4 linked regions of the Caenorhabditis elegans genome follow. The protein of the gene in region 1 interacts with the protein of each later gene in a pairwise test. Each region holds a gene or a part of one and is shown on either strand. Other genes may lie near its edges.

The links.
Region 2: the proteins of hlh-26 (region 1) and mls-2 interact in a two-hybrid assay, tested with the Caenorhabditis elegans proteins (one large-scale study listed by BioGRID).
Region 3: the proteins of hlh-26 (region 1) and znf-782 interact in a two-hybrid assay, tested with the Caenorhabditis elegans proteins (one large-scale study listed by BioGRID).
Region 4: the proteins of hlh-26 (region 1) and sup-35 interact in a two-hybrid assay, tested with the Caenorhabditis elegans proteins (one large-scale study listed by BioGRID).

Annotation. Positions count from the first base shown.
Region 1 is NC_003280.10:5,532,285-5,535,698, forward strand, and holds hlh-26 (Helix-loop-helix protein 26), read right to left. Parts: upstream 1,459-3,414; 5' UTR 1,439-1,458; coding exon 1,290-1,438; intron 1,229-1,289; coding exon 1,022-1,228; intron 972-1,021; coding exon 695-971; 3' UTR 555-694; downstream 1-554. Other genes in the region: hlh-25 (Helix-loop-helix protein 25), read left to right, coding at 2,956-3,113, 3,170-3,400. UniProt on the Caenorhabditis elegans protein: As a homodimer binds DNA via the E-box sequence 5'-CACGTG-3'. Represses lag-2 transcription during embryogenesis via Notch signaling, in an unc-37-dependent manner. Also represses tbx-37 independent of Notch signaling.
Region 2 is NC_003284.9:4,758,260-4,763,414, forward strand, and holds mls-2 (Homeobox protein mls-2), read right to left. Parts: upstream 3,382-5,155; 5' UTR 3,354-3,381; coding exon 3,166-3,353; intron 3,110-3,165; coding exon 2,874-3,109; intron 2,636-2,873; exon of another isoform or gene 2,437-2,635; intron 1,561-2,436; coding exon 1,438-1,560; intron 1,385-1,437; coding exon 1,296-1,384; intron 1,250-1,295; coding exon 1,023-1,249; intron 977-1,022; coding exon 814-976; 3' UTR 545-813; downstream 1-544. UniProt on the Caenorhabditis elegans protein: Transcription factor that binds to the promoter of target genes. Regulates fate specification and/or differentiation of multiple cell types arising from the embryonic mesodermal (M) lineage and the ABp(l/r)paa precursors.
Region 3 is NC_003282.8:1,064,522-1,069,474, reverse strand, and holds the start of znf-782 (C2H2-type domain-containing protein), read left to right. Parts: upstream 1-1,949; 5' UTR 1,950-1,993; intron 1,994-4,953.
Region 4 is NC_003281.10:11,115,214-11,120,971, reverse strand, and holds sup-35 (Regulator of microtubule dynamics protein 1), read left to right. Parts: upstream 1-1,745; 5' UTR 1,746-1,772; coding exon 1,773-1,831; intron 1,832-1,875; coding exon 1,876-2,025; intron 2,026-2,068; coding exon 2,069-2,186; intron 2,187-2,487; exon of another isoform or gene 2,488-2,611; intron 2,612-3,014; coding exon 3,015-3,083; intron 3,084-3,134; coding exon 3,135-3,737; 3' UTR 3,738-4,749; coding exon of another isoform or gene 4,750-4,821; 3' UTR 4,822-5,218; downstream 5,219-5,758. Other genes in the region: Y48A6C.4 (Pre-rRNA-processing protein Ipi1 N-terminal domain-containing protein), read right to left, coding at 386-554, 599-852, 900-1,018, 1,064-1,169.

The sequences.
Region 1 (3,414 bases):
ATTTTTCTTATTAAATGGTTTTTATATTTTCAATTCAAAGAAATTGAACACGTGTTCCAAGTGTTTATTTTTAATAGTTGTGCTGACATTTTTTGAATTTTCTTTCACAGTTTCTTTATTTTTCAGGGTTCGTAAACCAAGTTGCCGGTTGCCGAACTTTTTTCGGCACTTTGGCAACTGTCCATATCAACGTCAAACATTTTGTAACTCAAAAAAAAACATGCAGAGAGCCTGAAAAAGCTAGAATTTCACTGTAAACGAAAAAAACGACCATACATTTTTCCAAAACGCTCAAAAATTTAATTTCGACAAAAAAAACTTTGAAACCTGGTTGCCGAAAAGTTTCCGAAGTTCCGGCAACCGGAAGTTGCTGGCTGCCGAAGTTTTCAGCGTTCGGCAACTTTGGCAATTGCCGGTTGCCGAAATTTCTTTAAATCTCGGTTGCCGCACAGTCCTGGTAAGAACGCAATTCAGTTCTATAATTTTTCTCCAATTGCTACGCATCTGTTCAAATTATCATGCACACTGTGCTGAAAATCTCAATATTGCTGTGTGTTAAACTTGAATTTATTATCTTGATGTTACTTTTTTAAATTTATTAATTTTCAATGAATCGGGATGCAAAAGATGTCTAAATAATGTTGAAAACTGTTGAAAAAAATTGGAGACCAATACGATTTTCAGCTGAATCTCTTCAGCCAACAATATCGATATCTTTCTCATTTTCTTCTATTTCCAGAGCGTCAATTTCGAAGCTGGAACTTGGGACAATAGGAATCTGAACTGTAGGCATGTGAGGAGGATAAAGTGAAAATTGATTGTATGAATTGAAAACTAATGGCGAATAAACTGGGAATACTGGGAGAAAAGGAAGTATTGGAAATGGTAGGCAAGGTACTGTACATGTGATCGACTTTCCACGAATCACTTCAAAGATGATTTCTAGAACCTTCAAATTCTCCATTTTGTCTCTGAAAAATACGTGTTTTTTAATTTATGGCCAATAAAATCTAAAACCTACATTTCTTCTGAGCTACTCAAATTATTCAATGCAATAAATTTTCTGAGCTCTCTGTACGCGGCAACTCTCTTATTTCGGCGAACTTGTTCCCGATCGCTTTTAATCTTTTTAATACTTCTAATTGGTCCAGGCGATGTTGAAAACGATTCGTGATGAAGTTGAATACCAGATAACAATTTCACAATACGAAATAGAACCTCTTCTTTTCTGAATAGACATTAGTTGAGAGTACGTTTTTTTTTTTTAAATAAAATAGTAGAAAACTTACGAAAGTTTTTCAGATTCCGATTTTTGAACGATTTTCTTGAATTCATTCAACAGATCATTAGTATCATCTCTTCTTTGTTTTTCTGTTTCAGATCGATGTCCATGTGAAGAAGGGGACCCAGATGATGACGAAGTTGGAGAGGAAGACATTATGAGTCAAGGATCTGAAATATAATAATAATAGTTAACAAAAGATTATTAGACAAAAACCGTAATAGGGAGACTACAAAATATGAAAGGCAGTTCAAATTAAAGACTTATGAAAACGTTGAAAAGAACCAACCTTACAGTTCAAGTATGCAAAAACATAATGACTACCTTCCATTATATGTTCGAGTTTTTTCTTCAATAGGCGGGGATTCTCATCGTTTGGAATATCATGGGAATCTGATATCCATACCTTTATTACGCGTGGTTCTCATGGTGCATCGAGTACCACATCTCCAGTTCTTGCCGTGGCAGCCTGAGAACCCAAGCAATGCGAAGGGTCACAACCTGAACGAAGTTATTGATTGGTGGGAAAAAATAATCCTGAAATGAATATTTGGTAAAATCGGAGCTCGATGGAATTTAAAAATGTAAATATATAATACAAAAGAAGAATTTAGAATATTTAAAATAAAAATGCATATTAATTAACTCAAATAATCAAATACATGAATTAGGTTATAGTATTTTTCCTTTACATGATAGTTTAAAATATTTATATCAAGCTGTTCTAGAAATGTTTTAAAAAACAATATCCAAGTTTAAAAAAATCTCAATTTATTTTTAATTTACGAGGTTTCCATCTCAGCGTGTGACACTTTTCTTATAACTTGGCACCTACATGTATCCGGTGTGAATTTTTTCTGTTGCTGTGTGAGCATTTCCAGCAAACCGGAGTTCTCAAAATCAGTAAGGTTATATGTTAAAATTAAACTGGCTTATTATTTTCAGAAAATGAAAAACTGCCATATTTGAGTGATAAACTGAATGAATCCGTAAAATTTGGTAGTTGTATGTTCTATGCATTATCATATACATCAATCTGGTAATTTTTATTAGAATCAGATCTTGAATATTGGAAACTTTGCGAATTAAAGACAAATAATGATTAGGCAAGCTGATTAAATGAGTGATAAAAATGGTTAATGTCAATTCACAGTCTCCGCCGAAATTTCCCAGGCTGTACCCAATCAATATCCAGTCGTGGCAAAACTGGAGATGTCCTGACTCGTTCTCATGAGAACCTCACTGATGAACCATGGGAACCCGTGATGGGGACTGTAAAAATAGAGATTTCAGAATAATTCCCATGGCTCCAAACGCTTGATACAAAGCTCCACCCTCTGAACAATAATGGAACTATAAAAGGTAACCATTTATTCATTGTTCATTTACTTTCTTAGTGGATCACTGGTCTGCTGGTTTAGTATACTTTTTGATAATTGTAACATCAGGAAAGTGTACTGATTTTGATCAATTACTTTTAAAGCATTCAGTGAACTGTATACTTCTAGAAAAACAGTACGAGTTATCTCACTAAACTAAATCAATTTGTGCTGCTTTCTTGGTCCCATTTATCTGTTTTGTCACAATTATTCCTTTTTAACGGCTCATCTTGAATTTTTATAAATTCTACATTTCTTATTGATTTTAAATTAATGAAAATTATTAAATTTCAGATGCCAAAAGTTATTCAGTCTTCAATGAGCGATTATCGTTCCGTCCCATACAATCAAACTCCAAAATCAGCTTCTGAACGGAAAAGAAGAAATATTACAAACGAGTTGATTAACGAATGCAAGACGATTGTTCAAAAATCAGAAGAAGAACATATATCGTAAGTTTAAATACTCTGTTAGCTTAAAATAGTTATTAAACTAATTCATTTTTTAGACAAGAAGTAGTTCTCTTCCGAATTGTGAAACTTGTGACTGGAGTTAATCTGGAATCTAATTTCTCATCGAATGACCTCTCCGAATCTACAAGACGGAAGTTTGATACTGAATCCGAAAGAAGAAAAGTGAAGACTGAACGTGAAAAGATTCGAAGAAAGAAACAAGATGACTGTTATGCTGAATTGAAATTCTTCATTTTGAACAAACAAATGGGAAGTTACGAGCAACGGTAAGAGTTTCATT
Region 2 (5,155 bases), on another chromosome or scaffold:
AGCAAGTGTCGAAGGAATTTTTTTCGTAATTTTTGAAATTTCTAGAAATTTTTTTTGGAGTTCTTCAAAACAGTTCTTCAAAAATTTCTCGAGCGTTTTTGTACTGTTTAAGACAGAGATTTCTAATACTTTTGACTCTCCAATATTATTTCAAAGCATAACAACTTACTTTTTTCAAAGTTGCCTACTGAACACCTACACTACACTACCCTAATTCATTCTACTAATTTTAACCATTAACCTTTCAAAACACAACAAAAACTCTTTAAAAAAACAGATACTACATACAAAGGAGACAAACTATTATTTTATATCCAAGTAATACAATTCAAATTTTTGGAAATTTTGTAAGTTTTCGTTCTTCAAGCAGAATAAAAGTTTTCTGATATTTCTGCAGTTGATGGAATTTGAACATTTGTTTTGAAATTTCATCTTAAATATTAGTATATGTATGTATGTGAAAAGAGTAGCTTTGCTACCATCATAATCTGTTGGAAAATGGTCTTTTACACATCAAAAAGTTTCTATCATTTTTGTATTGTATGTATTCATAATGTAAATTTATTACTCAATAAATAATTATTTAGTGAAAGAGAAAGGATTGATGAACTGAATTATCATGTGCTCGAAGATAGTTTATAAAATACACAGAATGACACATAATAAACATATAGGGTATGAAAAATAAAATATATACGAAGGGCGATGAATCAAAAATCAAGTGTGAAGAGATAGAGTCAGTGATGAGATGAAAAATGTGTTGAGGTTGAGTTGAATTGCACAGGGGGTGAGTCTAAATTAGTAATAAGGTGTTCACATGTTCTGCGCTTGAGCCGACGCATTCAAGTTTTGCTGTGCCTGAAGTGTACCAAAACCGAAAAGAAACCGCGCGGCGGCAGTTGCAGAAGCATCCATTGGAGATGAAATCATATTTCTCATGTTCACACCAGCACTGGTCGTTGGGATCGTAAGGATTCTGAAATATAAAATTTAGAATTAATTTCATGAAACAGTAAACTCACGGAGATGTAAGAGCTGTGGTTGCTGGAATCGAAAACACATTAGCTCTATGCATCTGCAGGGAAATGTTCGTGTCATCAGTCTGAGCTTGTCTCTTGAACTTGTTTCGTCGATTTTGGAACCAAATTTTCACTTGGGTCTCCGTCAAGTGCAGCTTCTGTGCTAAATTTGATCTCTCTTGACTGCTCAAATATCTTTTGCATTCGAACATCATTTCCAATTGGGACACCTGAATGAAAGTATTATTTGAGTTCGGAATGTACAATTTCTGATACCTGACTCCTGCTGAAGACGGTTCTGGTTTTCTTCTTTCTATTTTGTGATGGATCGCTAGAGTTGGCTTCATCATCGCTTCCACGGCCAACTGAAATACAGTTTATGGACACTTTTGTGGACACATTTTTAAATTCAACTCACTATCATCGTCATCTTCTGCGTCAGACTCCAGCGGGCTGCCACCAGTGGAATCCCTGGTCTCCCCATCTTTTCCCTCCGATTTTTCATCCTTCTCTTCTCCATTGTCTGATTGAATATTAACATCTGTAAGGAAACACATTTTCAACAATTACTTAATTCCTGACAGGCATATTAACCATATTGCATTAAGATACTTCCATTGACAGGCCACAATTATAACACATCCCCCCGTGGTCCATCGGTTAATTATCTCAATGGACGGGGGATTACTAGGACACGGGTGTCGGTCAAAATGACACCTTTATAAATAGATGTCTCTATATTAAGAACTACCTTTAGTTTTCAATACTGATTCTTCGTTGACTAATTAGAATCTCTTAAAAACCGAAGTGTAGCCGCTTACGTTACGAATATTGACGACTAAAAATGTGCGCTCATGCGTATGCCTGATTTTTCATGCGAAATGGAAAAGGCTCATTAGAATAAGAGATTTCTATTGCTGTTTTGATCATTTCACATGTTATCAAAAACAAATCAGTGGCAAAACCACATGTATCAACAGAGTCAGCGTAATAAAACAGCGTGATGATGTTATTTTACAATACGCTGATTTGCTTTGCCAAATCAACTGAGCGGAAAACTTAATGGCTTAAAGTTGGACCTGTGAGGGGAAATAATTAATCAGCATTTTTGTAATGTTAAAATGGCTTAATATCAAAATAAAACTGTTTTTAAAAAAATTTTGAGCCAAAAATTAGGTAAAAGCGGACTATGAGTTTTCAATGTTCTTTGACTAAAAATAAATTTTATTTAAAACATTTTTGAAATGTTTTAGTATGACATTTGGTAATTCCCTACAGGCCACATTTCATTATTAAAAACTTTGAATCTGAAAAAAAAAGTTGTTTCTCTATAATTTTTAATTGAATGTATTTATTTTTAGAATCAAAATAAAAGTCAAGGACCTGACACGCGTCACCGAGCTCATGGGGTTTAGTATTCTCACGTTATTAACTTATTGCTGTTTGAGCACATCCTTTCAAGAATCAATGAATACCGCGTGTGGTGTTACCCAACAAAAGATAATTAGTTGAGTTCAACACAGGCGAGCGATTCTGATTCTTATCCTAAGAAAGGAACTGCATCCGCCGACAACCTCCCCCCTCCTTTTTCCATATGTTCATCCAATACCGTTGTTCAACTTGTTAATGAGTCCAGACTTGGCTAATTCGAGACCATACAATAACAATGGGTCAGAAAATGAATTAGTTACTGTATTAAGGGGTGTTCTGAGATTCGGAGAATAAAGAGAACCGACCGAAAATTATAGTGGTAAACGGAACACTGTTTTGAATGAAATGAAATATGGTAGGATTCTTTCACACATTAACTAATGACAGACTAAGGAGAGAGGAAGTTGGGTAATATCTACTGACCTGGGTTGCTCATGTTTTTGAAGTGCATTAGTTGAGCAGTCGGAAGTCCAAAGAATGGGAACATGGTAAGTGGTGAGATCATGTTTTGTTGATTGCCGACGTTCAAGAAAGTTTGCTGAAGTTGCAGGAGGGCAGAAATCGGATTCATTTTTGGATCAAAATTGAAATTAAACGCCGTTTGCTCAATTTCATTGGTGCTATCCTCTGAAGATGCCGACGGGGAACTTTGTGTAGTTCTGAAAGTTTAATTTTATACAAATAAAAGGAAAATAAATGAAAATGTTCAACTTACGGTTTTCTGTCATCTTCCAGCAACTCAGAAATATTGAATTTAATCTTATTATCTGAACTTGGCTTCATCTCTTCTTCCTCTTCTTCCTCCATCAGTTCAATCTTTGGAAGTTGTGACATTTTTTCGAGACGTTCTTGCGAGCTCATTGTCGTCATATCAATAGGGAGATTCATAACTGAAGTCGGCATGTTTGAGAAAAATAGAGTCAACTGAGGGCTAATCGAGAATACTAATGAGTAGCCCCGCCCCACCATTCAAGACTACGGTAGCTGGGCGAGCGTTCGCGGATAAATGGGGTGTAGGAAATGGGAAGGAGAGGAGTAATAATGAAATGATGACCAAGTCAAATTATTGTCTTTGGTAGTGTTAAGAAAACGGATATCAAAACTATATAAACAATGGTTGACCAATAGGAAAACGACTATGAATACAGTTGAGAGAAGTTTAGCAGAATCTGAGGATCTCGAAGAACTCCCTGCTTGCTTTTCCGCTAATGTGTTAAGTGATCAAGCAAAACAGAGATGTTTCTAGGCAATACGCCCTGTCCAACTTAATGTCTAATTCGTTTAAGTGGATTACTATGTTTGGTTAACACCATTAATCACAACAATTAACCGTTTTTTTTCCGCTGAGCGACTCTATCAATTGTTTCAAAATTGATGATCAATTGATTTTGTAATGTAGGTTCAATGTATATTCCAACGAGAATGCCAAAAAGCTAATCAGTTATGCTTTAAGCAAAACATTATTAATTTAAATATGAAATTCGAGATGTTAGTGGATCGTTGTTGCTATGCGAACGCACGGGTCAAGCAGCAGCTTATCCGCGGTTAGTGTCGAATTCGGAGTGCAAAAGGTAATAATGAGGAATGATGGAAACAGGAGAGATATCTAATATAGGCTCGATGAGCAAAACACTCAGGATCATTGTTCACTTGAAATGTGTTCGAATACCGTAACTCCTTGAATAGTACTGTACCACACTATTTGAAACGTTATATCTGTGTTCAGTATCAAAGATAAGAAACTACAAACCGCTAAAAAAAATTGACAAGTACTTTGTTCGTGTTAAGCTGGTAAAGATGGAAACTGGGTTGAAATCCTAATAGGGAAAATACGGTAAATGGTTTGATATTTTGATGTACAGGAAGTTGAAAAGAGTACTGCCAATATTGTGATGACATCTTTTAAACTACTTTTTTCCATACTTTCCAAAAAAATCATTTTTGGCTGAAAAAAGAACACTCGTATTACTGTTAATTTTCAGAATGGGGGTTTAATTTACAAATGAAAATTTTAGACGAGATTTCTGATACCTTAGAGAACCCATGCAAAACTGAGGGAAAAGAGATGAATCAAGAGTCGATGGAAGTGAATCGGAAACTATCACATGAAGTCTTATGAAGCTTGAAAAAAAGTTCGAAGCAAACAAGTAATCACGAAATGTGTTTTTTTTCCTGATTAACCCTTGAGAGTCCAATGACGAACATTTGAAAAAAAAATCAAGTTTTAGTTTTGATCAAACGCAAAATAAAACGAGTTGAGGTGAGCACAGCCGTATTGAATGAACGTCCACAGCTCCACCCACTTCCATGATATACGGTAATTGGGACCCAAGACGCTTACCCGCCCGCTCTCATGTGTTTGTGTGCGCGCTCGTTTGGTTTCAAATAGGGAGGGGGGAGAAAATAATTCAACACAATCTCATTAAAACCGGTAATAGTAAAATAAGGCGACGACGTATTTGTACAGAATAATATGGTCGAGGAAAAACATGCACACACGTAATGGCTGATAGTAGTGGCGTTCATAGAAATGAGCTGAAAATGAGCAGAAATGAAATGAAAGATGAGGATGAGAATGAGAAAATGGAATTGATATTTTCCACATTATTTCCCATTATTCTCTTAGAGGTTTTGTTATGTAAAACATCACAAAATGGATTTAATACGACGACTCACAACGTTCTCAAGCCAATGTGCAACACTGT
Region 3 (4,953 bases), on another chromosome or scaffold:
AGTCTAAGGATTAGGCTTAGGCTTAGGCTTAGGCTTAGGCTGAGCAGGGGACAAAAAGAGAGCAAAAAGAAATCCCCAGAAAATTCAATAATTCTGAAAAAAACCTGACCTTTTCGACCGGTTTTTGGGCTTTTGGACTTAGAAGGCCTACACAAGATTTTTCTAATGCTCAAGTGTATGAAAATCGAACTAGCGTTTTTGATGCCTCGGTGCTTATCACCTTAGAATTCCTATGCCCGTGGGCTTTGTTTTTTTTTTGAATTTCTCAAGTTTGGAACTGAATGAAGCAATGCTTTTGCACCCCCGTTTCCCTTGCTTACTCGGTTCCCTGGTTCCTTGCACGATCCCAGACCACTTTTGGCTCCCCGGTTCCCAGGCCCCCCTTAGCCCCGCTGGTCCCGTACTCCTTCCGCTCCCTGCTTGTTCTCCGCGTCTCTGCCGCTGCCGCTGCCGCGTCGTCGTCATTTTCCAGGCAAAAACATATGAAAAGAGCCATGGGTGGCTCCAGGTGGTGACCCAGCACCGTGTATTTGTGTGTGTATTTCTCGATGCTTGCAGCAGCAGCAGCAGCAGGAAAAAAGAGTGAAATAGTGTGGGGGAGGTGTGGCAGCATGTGAATCATGGATAGATGGGGGGGGGGGGGGGAGGTTTTGTAAAGAAGACAGAAGAAAAAAGTAGAGAACATACAAATACAGAAAGATATGAAAAAAGTTTTTTAGTATGGTACTTTATATTTGGTAAAAATTCGAATAAATATTGGTCCTTCTTCAAGGATCCTTTGGCCAAACTTGGGGTCTAAGCTTAGGCTGAGGTTTGAGCTCAGGCTTGAGCTTAGGCTGAAGCTTAGGCTTGGGCTTACTTATTGAAACCCTATGAGATAAAATCCGGGTCCTAGGCCCAAATTAAGCCTATTCTGCCAGACGAAAGACCCATGGTTCTTAAGTTCCCATTGAGACCAGATCGGCCAATATTCAAGGGCCTCTTTTTGAAACTCTTTGAGATAAAATAAGGGTCCTAGATCAGGATTAGCGTGGCTAAAAATAAAGTACTTAGAGCCCTGTTTGTAAGCCTTCCAGCCTAAGTATGACCTGCAAGATTAGGGCTTTCATAGACCAAATCAAACTTTCAGACCGAAATTCAAGTCCCTATGCCTTTTTTGATACTCTTTATGATAAAATTTTGGTCCTAGATCAGAATTAGGGTTTCTAGGCTTTTTTTGCCAGACTAAACAGGTAGGAAACGTAACTCAACACTTGGACCATTTAGGTTATTTTTGGGGTATTGTGGCCCTTTTTGCTTCATAACTCCTTTTTGGGCCAAAACTAGAGTCTCTAGAACCCTGTTTGTAACCCTTTCGGGAAAAGTTATGGCCTGGCCAAGACTGGCCAATATCAATGCCTTTACAGCCCAAATCAAACGTTCAGACCAAAATTCCAGTCCCTAGACCGATCACCTTTTAGTCCGTAATTTGGCTCCCTACCTATAAAAAGTATAAACATGCCAAAATTAGGTTGCAAAAAAGACCCAGTCTATGATTTTTGGCATTTTAGACTCCGTTAGGCTGAAATATAGCTCAGGATCCTAACACTTAGACCTTTTTGACCTAAATATAGATTTCTCAATTCAGAATTTCAGTTTTTAGACCTCCTAGACCTATTTGAGAGAATTCTCAAAAATTGTGCGATTTCCCATACCCTTATCAATTTTGTGTTGTTTGGTGGTTTGTTGCTCCTTCCTTCTTCTTCTTCTTCTTTTTTGAATGTCATTTTTTCAACCACTGGTCATTCTTTTTCCCACACTCTGCGTCTCTAAGTGGCCAGCGGGGGGGCGCCCCGACGTGCCAGTCGACACCAGGAGGGGCGCGCGGAACGAGCCGATAGAGCGTGCGAGACGAAGAGACGCAGGCATTTTTCCGCAGTGCTCGTCGCGTCGCATCATGCCGCTTCCGCACTCCGCCGCGCGCGAGGACTCTTCGAGAAAAAGACGAAAAAACGTGAGTGAGTTTGGCCTATCTGGAGCTCTCTAGAAATTTCTGGGACCTGTCTAGGCTTGGACCCATCTAGGGTTGGGTTTGGGCCCTTTTTTATCAGTTTTCAAGTGCAACATTGAATTTCAAACGACACTCCGTTATCCCTCTAGTGCTTGATGTTTAGCCAATTTAACTTGAAGTTTTTTTTTAAAGAAAAAGTTCCAAATTTCGGGCCAACTCCCTCTAATCACAGATTAAATTATGAATTTAAAATTTATCAGCTTTGCACCACCGACCACCAAAACAAAATCGATTTCACCACTAGAAGCCTTCAAGTTTTGAAATTTACTAGTTTCTAACGACACTCCGCTATCCCCTAGCGCGCTCTGTTTATCCAATAATTTTTGGTGGGAATTTGAAATTTTACATGACTTTTTTGTGCATTATTACCAGCTTTTTTGCACAAAAAAAAAAGAGAACTTGCAATTTTTCAAACTTTCAAACGACGCTCCGCTATCCCACCAATCGCGCCCTGTTTATCCAGTAAGTTGTCTATTGGTAATAAATGTTTTATTCATTATTCTATACATTTGTAGTTGATATGTAACTAATATCGCTAAAATAAACCAAAATAAAAACATGGTGCATCGATAAGTTTTGCAAACTTAACTTTACCAGCTCTATATCTAAATTGTCTCTGGGTTTATAAAATAATTATCAACTGACAAAATATTGCTCACCTCTTTTTCTACATTAACCCGTGGAAAAAATTACAAATAGCATAAAAAGCCGAGATATTGGCTTGCCTAACATAGTTTGCCCAAAAAAAAACTCGACAAAAGTGACCAGTTTTCTCTGAAACAATGACCTGGTCATTTGAACTGGTTTCTCACCATCCCGTCACTCTTTCAATTGTCTACTTCTGTGTTTGGTTTTTTTTTGGGAGGTTGTTTTCATTTGTTGTTATATGGGAGAGAGAGAGTGAGGCTATTGTTTTATCTTGGGACTCCTCCTCTCGGAACTTTTTAATAATTGTTTCATTCTTCATAATTCCTTACATATTTTGGCTGGTTTTGGTTTTATCGGAATTTTTTTTTTTAAATTAACACTTCTTAGATAGAGTCTGTCGAAGAAAAGTTCTGAACATGGTGCATCGAGGCCATATTTCGGTTACGTTTAGTTAAGCTGTTTTTCATAATTTTTTCTACATTGATTTCATATGACTCAACTTTGAAGTGTAGGGCTCCTATGTAGGCGATAAAACGCCTACCTGCCTGGCCTTCAGGCGATCTCCGCCTGCCTCAATACTTATGCTAAATCATACGTGTTTTTTTTTTCTTTTTTTTTTAATTTGAAAATCATCAGTGTAAATACACCTAAAATGCATAAAAGGGGAAAAAGCAGGCAGGTTTCAGGCAGGCTTCAGGCCCCGCGCCTGCCTAAAATCTAGTCCATGCACCATGATCTGAAATCACTATCAACCCAGTTTTCAAAGGTCCTATCCACATTTTCCACCAATCCCGTTAATCCGTACTACATGTAGGTCAAACACATGGTTTTTGAAATCCAACTAGATATAGCCATAAATGTTTGTATGTGGTCAAAGTTTCTCTCTCATTTTTCCAACAAAAAAAGAACGCACACACACACATATGTTTGTATGTGGTGTCTACCTATTATTATCTATGGTTGGACGGGCATCATCATGTCACCGGCAGGCACCCATAGCTCCGTGCCAGGCCGCTTGCCGCCGCGCCGGCAGGCATGCGGTCACGCGGAATGGGTTACGAGGGGGTAACCTGATACCACGAGTTGGGGTGACCAGGGTATGTGATAAGGTAAAAGGTTACGTATTTGAGTATTTGAAAATAAAAGGTTAGTGATTTTGAATGGGAAATAGGAAACTTTGTGAAATTTAAAAAAACATGGTGCATCGACTGAAAATCCTTCGTCAGCTTTTTGACGTCTTGTATTTCAGTTGTGTTTGGTGTTATCAAAACATTGTCTAGTGACAAAATGTTTATTATAACCTTTTCTATAATAATGTAGTTTAACAATTTTTGATATCTCTTTAAAAAACCAAGATATGATCATTCAAAGTAAAATGCCAAGCACAACTTCATTGGTTCAAATCTTGGTTGTTTTTGGTTCAAAAATTGGCAACAGACAAAACATTTCTTATATCTTTCTCTATAGTTCTATTTTTAAACATTTTTTGATATCAGTAAAAGTAATCGAGATATAAGCTGTCAAAGTTAATCGGCAAAACATGGTGCATCAACTGTTACAGTGATCGTACCCCTATCGTAATTTTTCTGTAATTCTACAGTAGCCCTACAGTAATACTACAGTAGCCCTACCGTAATTTTTTTGTATTTCTACAGTAGCCCTACATTAATACTACAGTAATCCTACAATACCCCTCTAAAACCTCAAAGTTTTCATGTAGTAACTGAACCCCTCCAGGTGCAAAAATTGCTGCCAGGTGCAAAATTTCACGAGGTGTTCGGAAAAGTTTAGACTCCTTAAATGCTAAAAATCTTTTTGGACCCTTGGATTCTTTCACCTCTCCTCATACTAATATCCTACTCTTTCAAGACTACTAGTCCCTAGTCACCAAAACATAAATGACGAATTCCTACGTGCGTTCTTTTGCTCCTTTTGCTCCGCGCGGAGCCCACCGAACGCCGGAGCCAAAACAATTATTATATGCCGTGTGTGTGTGTTGTGTGTGTTCCGCGCGGATAAGAAGAAGACGCAGTTGAGAAGAAGCGTGCCAGTCGCCGTGTTTGTTTTGGCGCAGCGTCGTCGACGGGGTGGTCTTGAAGAGCGGCGAGGAGGCGCCTGGTACCAGTAGTCGGGGTGGGGTGGGTGAGGGCTAGGGCATCAGAGAAACCAGACGTTTTTTTTGTTCGCATGCTTCTTCTCCGCTGTGTGTTGTTGTGCTGCTGCCACCTCGAACGTCGGAACATCATGGCACTGCC
Region 4 (5,758 bases), on another chromosome or scaffold:
TTACTGAAAAATATCAATTTTCTGGGAAATCGCTGAGTTTTCAGCTTTTTTAACCACAAAATTTGAATTTTTCACTAGTTTTCAGTCGAAAATTTGTGTTTTAAACAGAAAGTTCAAGTTTAAAAATTTATTTTTCGGATTTTCAGTCAACTTCCAAGATTTTTACCGAAAGATACAGAATTTAATCCATTTTTTAAGTTTTTTCAGCGCAAAATTGCAATTTTGCTCTGATTCTTGCTGCAAAATCGGATTTTTTATCGATTTTTCTTCATTTTTTTCTGGTTTTTTTGTGTTTTCCAGGACCACACATAAAAATGCAGTTTAAAATCGATTTTCTCGAATTTCTAGTGAATTTTTCGCAATTTCCAGGCAAAAAACTACGAACATTGATGAAATTGAGAATTGTATCGATTAATCCCGGCTTATTCCACGCCAGACGCTTCGAACTGCCCAGATAATTGATAAAACAGGGGAAGAGATCGGCATGATTCCGGCAAAGGCTCGGATATCGATCGAGAAGCACCGAAAGTGTGCTCAGTGCGAGGTGGCGGACTCTGAAAATTCAAAATTTCCCATTTTTCAGAAAAAATCCACTCACTCTGTGACGATATTCGTTAGAGCGCGGAGCACGTGGGACAGGAAAAGTGTGATATGAGCCGACATTGCTTGAATTGAAGCTGTACACAGAATTTTGTAGAGATTCAGTAGATTCTGACGTGTGGAGGGCTCGAAAGAAGCGTCAGCCACGTGCACAGCCACGCAGGGAACCAAAAGCCTCAACTGGACGTTGACAAGATCCGGGCGAGACGTTAAAATCTGTTTTAGTCCTTGAATAGCGTTCATTTTCACTTTCTGAACGAGAATTTATTAATTTTGATCGATATTCAGCGAAAAATTACCGCATTAAAGTGCCCCATCTGCTTGCAGAGCTCATCGAGCGTTAGACCACGGAAACTAAGTGGATTATCATCTGTTTCCACTTTTTCCTCCAACTGAGTCGCCAATACTACTCGTTTTGCTGAAAAAATGAATTAAAATTCGCGAAAATCGGGTGAAAACTCACCTTTGATAGTCGTGTCGGTGGTCGTCGTTTTTTTCAGCTTTTTTCCCACCTTCAGCTTGACTTTTTTGAAATCTTCGTTTTTCCGTGCCTTCTTTTTGGTCACCATCTGCAAAAAATGTTAATTTTCGCGTGTTTCTTGAGAGAATAACAAGAAAAATGCGAAAATGGCAAAGGAAAAAAAAAGAGAGGAGAGACCACGCCTCGGTGAAGTGCAAGTTTCATAGATATTGATTCGAGAGAAAATTATTCCCATAAATAGAAACATCACGCCCAATTTTTAATATTTTCTTTTATTCAGAGTTAAAATAAATTGAAAACCAAATTGTTAAAATTTTTCCCACTATGCTCAAATCAGATCCTTACAATAATTTATAATTATCCTGCGTTCCCGTTTCTGCACACTCATTTATCTCATAATACAGCAACGTCTCCAAAGCAAAAGCGCTCTACTGCGCATAGGAAAAAGGCGCGAATCGAGTGATTTGAATAATTTCGCGGTGTTTTACCGCATTTTATCTTCTTTTTTCTCATTTTTAAACGACGTTTTACTCTTATAAATATTTTTCACGTATTATAGTTTCATATATCTTTCACACATTCGTCCTCCTAAAAAATTTAGTGATTCTGAAGGCTCGTAATTTATATGGCATGAATGTTCTGAAATATTCCTAATTTTTTGAACTTTCAGATTTTTATTTTTGAACATAAAATGGCTCACACTTTTGCGTGCCCACGTGGAGATTGTGGACTTTTTTCGCTTTCCAAACTGTAAGTCAAACATTGTATTGCATAATCACCGGTTTTTGTTTCAGGGACGATCATCTCACTGCGGATCATCATCTGGAACACATGTGTTCAGAGTGCGAAGAGAGCTTTGGCTCTGCAGAAGAGGCCAAAGAGCATACTCTTTTAGCTCACGAAAATGCTCAAACATTCGATGATCCAAAAATTAGAAATACTAGGTATTGTTGTTATCTCAGAGCTAAAATAAATATAATATTTCAGAATTGTAGATTCCATAATTGCAGCAGTGAGAGTATCCGGTGATGTGATTGAAGAATTCAATTCAGTGATCATGCGAGCGGTTATTCGTCATTGGGGAAACACGAGCACGGAAAAGCTGGTAAGGAGCAGATGATAATTTTATTTTATCTGAGAATGCGTTTTGCGCAAAATATCTTGTATCGAAAACTACAGTAACTTTTTCAAAGACTACTGTATCACTAGCGGCGACTTACGGAAATCATTCGATAAAAATTAAAAGAAATCACAAAAATGACAACAACTTGAATTTCGCTGTCACAATTTGATCAGAAAATTACAAATAGCAAGCCAATACATCGACGCCAGTTCTACAGTAGGCAGTTCAGGTTTTTTATACAGTTAAGTATTATATTAAAAGTAAAATATTAAAACTGTCACCTTAAATTTGAATCCAGCCAAGCCCGCGAAAAACTCCGCTCGATTTCGGATGCCGAAAATTGGCTCGAATCGAGAGATATTCGGGAGATGCTGGAATCAAATAAGACCTACTTTCTTTTAGATTTCCGCCGATCACCACAAAAATGAAAAGAGTGGGTAATATATCGCGGCCGACAACCCACGGGTTCCGCGCCTCGCTATAAATTAAGTAAATTAAGCCACGCCCTTCAAAAGCACACCAACTGATAGGGTGTGGCTTAATTGACTTAATTTAGAGCGAGGCGCGGAACCCGTGGGTTGTCGGCCGCCATGTATTACCCACTCTTTTCATTTTTGTGGTGATCGGCGGAAATCTAAAAGAAAGTAGGTCTTATTTGATTCCAGCATCTCCCGAATATCTCTCGATTCGAGCCAATTTTTGGCATCCGAAATCGAGAGGGAATTTTTCACGGGCTTGGCTAAATTCAAATTTGATGTGACAGTTTTAAAATTTTGATACTCTTTTTAACGAAAAATTATTCGATTTCAGATTGCTGTCGTTGATTCTCCAATGATTACTCGTGACTTCTATATCGACTGTTTTGAAGCTTTAAAGATGGTAGACTATTCATTTGTATTTAAACAATGAAATAAAATTCGAAATTTGCAGAGATACGATTCTGGAGAGAAGTCCATCGATCTTCTCTGTCGTTTGGCAAAATTGTGTACAAAAATTGGAAATTTTGTTGAGAAGGAAAAGAGAAAGGACATCATAATCAAAGGAAAGATGTACGCTACCGAAGCCTGGAACACCGATTCGTACAACATCTTGGCTGCTCATTGGGCCGCTGTGATGTCAGGAAAGGCAATCGAATATCTTGAAGGCGATGAAAAGAATCTGGAGATGAGACACTGCAGACAATATCTCGATCGTGCCATCTCTATCCAGGCAGGAAAAAATGCAATGTACAATAATATTCTTGGCCGTTGGGCTCTTTCAGCACTGGAGATTTGGGAGTCTGACCGACAACAGTTAATTCATCATTATGCCACCCCATATGACGCTATCGACGATGCCATTTATCAGTTCAGATCCGCTTTCGATCTCATACCGTATTGGATCGATAATATTGTACACCTGGGCAAAGCGCTTCTTTACAATGAAAACAAAGAAGCCGCCATTGGAATGTTTCAGCTCGCACTCAAAATGGACCCGTCGAACGATATCGAGAAAGAGTTGCTCGCCGACGCCCTTGACTTGTGCTCAATTTGATCCTTCTTTTATTTCCATTTTATTTTCTGTGTCTCATTTTTCCGTTTGCACTTTCCTCCGTTTTTTTATTGTAAAAATTCCGTAAAAATCGGCCCAAAATTCCCATTTTCAGGGGATTCTTGGAGCCCAACTTCTTTTTTTAAAAATTTGGATTTTTAAATTTTTCCCCGATTTTCTATAGGAAATTCCAAAACATTTACTGAAAAATAGAAAAAAAAATGGCCAGATTTCTCGAAAAAATTAAAATTTTTGGAATTTTTCTGATTTTTAGCTAATTTTTTGAAAAAACTGGCTCAAAAATTTTTTTTTGGTATTTTTTAAAGAATTTTTATTTTTAGAAAATCCGTGAAAATTGAGGGAAATTGAGCCAGAAATTTGGTATTTTGGAGCCCAAAATCTGTTAATTTTTATTTTTAAATTTCCACGAATTTTAAGCTAATTTTCTGAAGAAGTTGGCTCAAAATTTCGGTTTTTTGGAATTTATTTTTTTCCTGAATTCCTAGAATTTATAGTGTAGTTGATCCGGAAATTCTATTTTTCTCAAATAATTGAAAATTTTTACTTTCAGAAAATCCCTGAAAATTGAGTGAAATTGAGCTCAAAATTCATATTCTTCTCAAAAAATTGATTTTTCTGTTGAAACTTCCTTGAGAAAATTTCTAGAAGAAGCTGGCTCAAAATTTCGAATTTTTGGAAAGTTTTTGGAATTTTCATAATCAAGTTTTTTTCGAAAAAATTGAAATTCCGCCGAGTTTAAGCTAATTTTTAGAATTTTTCTCAGTTAACGGTTCTTTTCTAGTGAAAAATTCCAAAATTTAGAAATTTAAAAATCCCTTTTCCCCTTATAAATTGCCCCAAACATTTCCGCTTCAACCAATTTTTCAACATTTTTATTCTATATTTAACGGCTATACAAAAAAATCGATAATTTCTCAGGTTTTCACCTCTATTTCCTATCTTGTTCACACGCCTCGGTCCCAAAATTTAATAGATTTTCAGGCCAAAAAAACCAATGGGGTTTTTACAAATTCTTCAAGAATGTCGAGCCGAAGGACTATGGCCAATTGGGCCATCTTGTAATAAGGTGCTGTGAAAAATTTGGAAAAAAATTATTATACATTCGTCGAAAAATTTCATCTCAGTTTAAAGGCGCACACATTTTTTGTACTTTGGGTCTCACCACGATTTCGACTTTTTGAAGCTTAAAATCACTAAAAATTACGTGGATCGTGGCAGGACAAAAAAGTGTTATTATACATTCGCCAAAAAATGCCAGCTGATGAAAGGTGCATGTTTTTTGCAAAAATTGCAAAAAATTACCAATCGAAAAAAAAAACTCATATTTTTCCGATGGGTCTCGCCACGATCTGCGTCTTTTGGATCCTAAAAGAACCCAAAATTATGTGAATCGTGGCGGGACCCAGAAGTGTATGCGCCTTTAAAATAGGAGAGTATATTTTTGAGAATGTGTAATAATTTATTTTTTTGCTTTGAAGAAACTTTTTATCATTTTATGATAATAATAATTTTATTATACATACGTCGAAAAAATGTCATGGCAATTACCTTTAGGTCTCGCCACGATCTACGTCTTTTGGATCCTAGAAGCGTCCAAAATCACGCAATTCGTGACGAGACCCAACAGTGTATGCGTCTTTAAAATAAGCTTGCATAATTGTGGGAATGTATAATAATTTATTATTGTATTTTTTCAATTATTTATTACAAAAAAATGTATCAAAAAATTTTATACAAATCAACAAAAAAAACAAAAACAATTTTTTTCGTGTACTCCACACGGACAACAAACTGTAGTTTTACAACTAAAACGCGCCGTAAATCTACACAAAATCTCTCCGACCCAAAATGGCCTAATTCGGCAAACTCTGCCATTTCGATTCATGAGGGAAGCCAGAATTCCGTGTTTTAACCGAAAATTCCAGAGTCTATCAAAAAATTCCAATTTCACCTTTCTACCGTAGTCCAGCGCGGGAATTCAAAATTCTCACGTTCCACCGGTC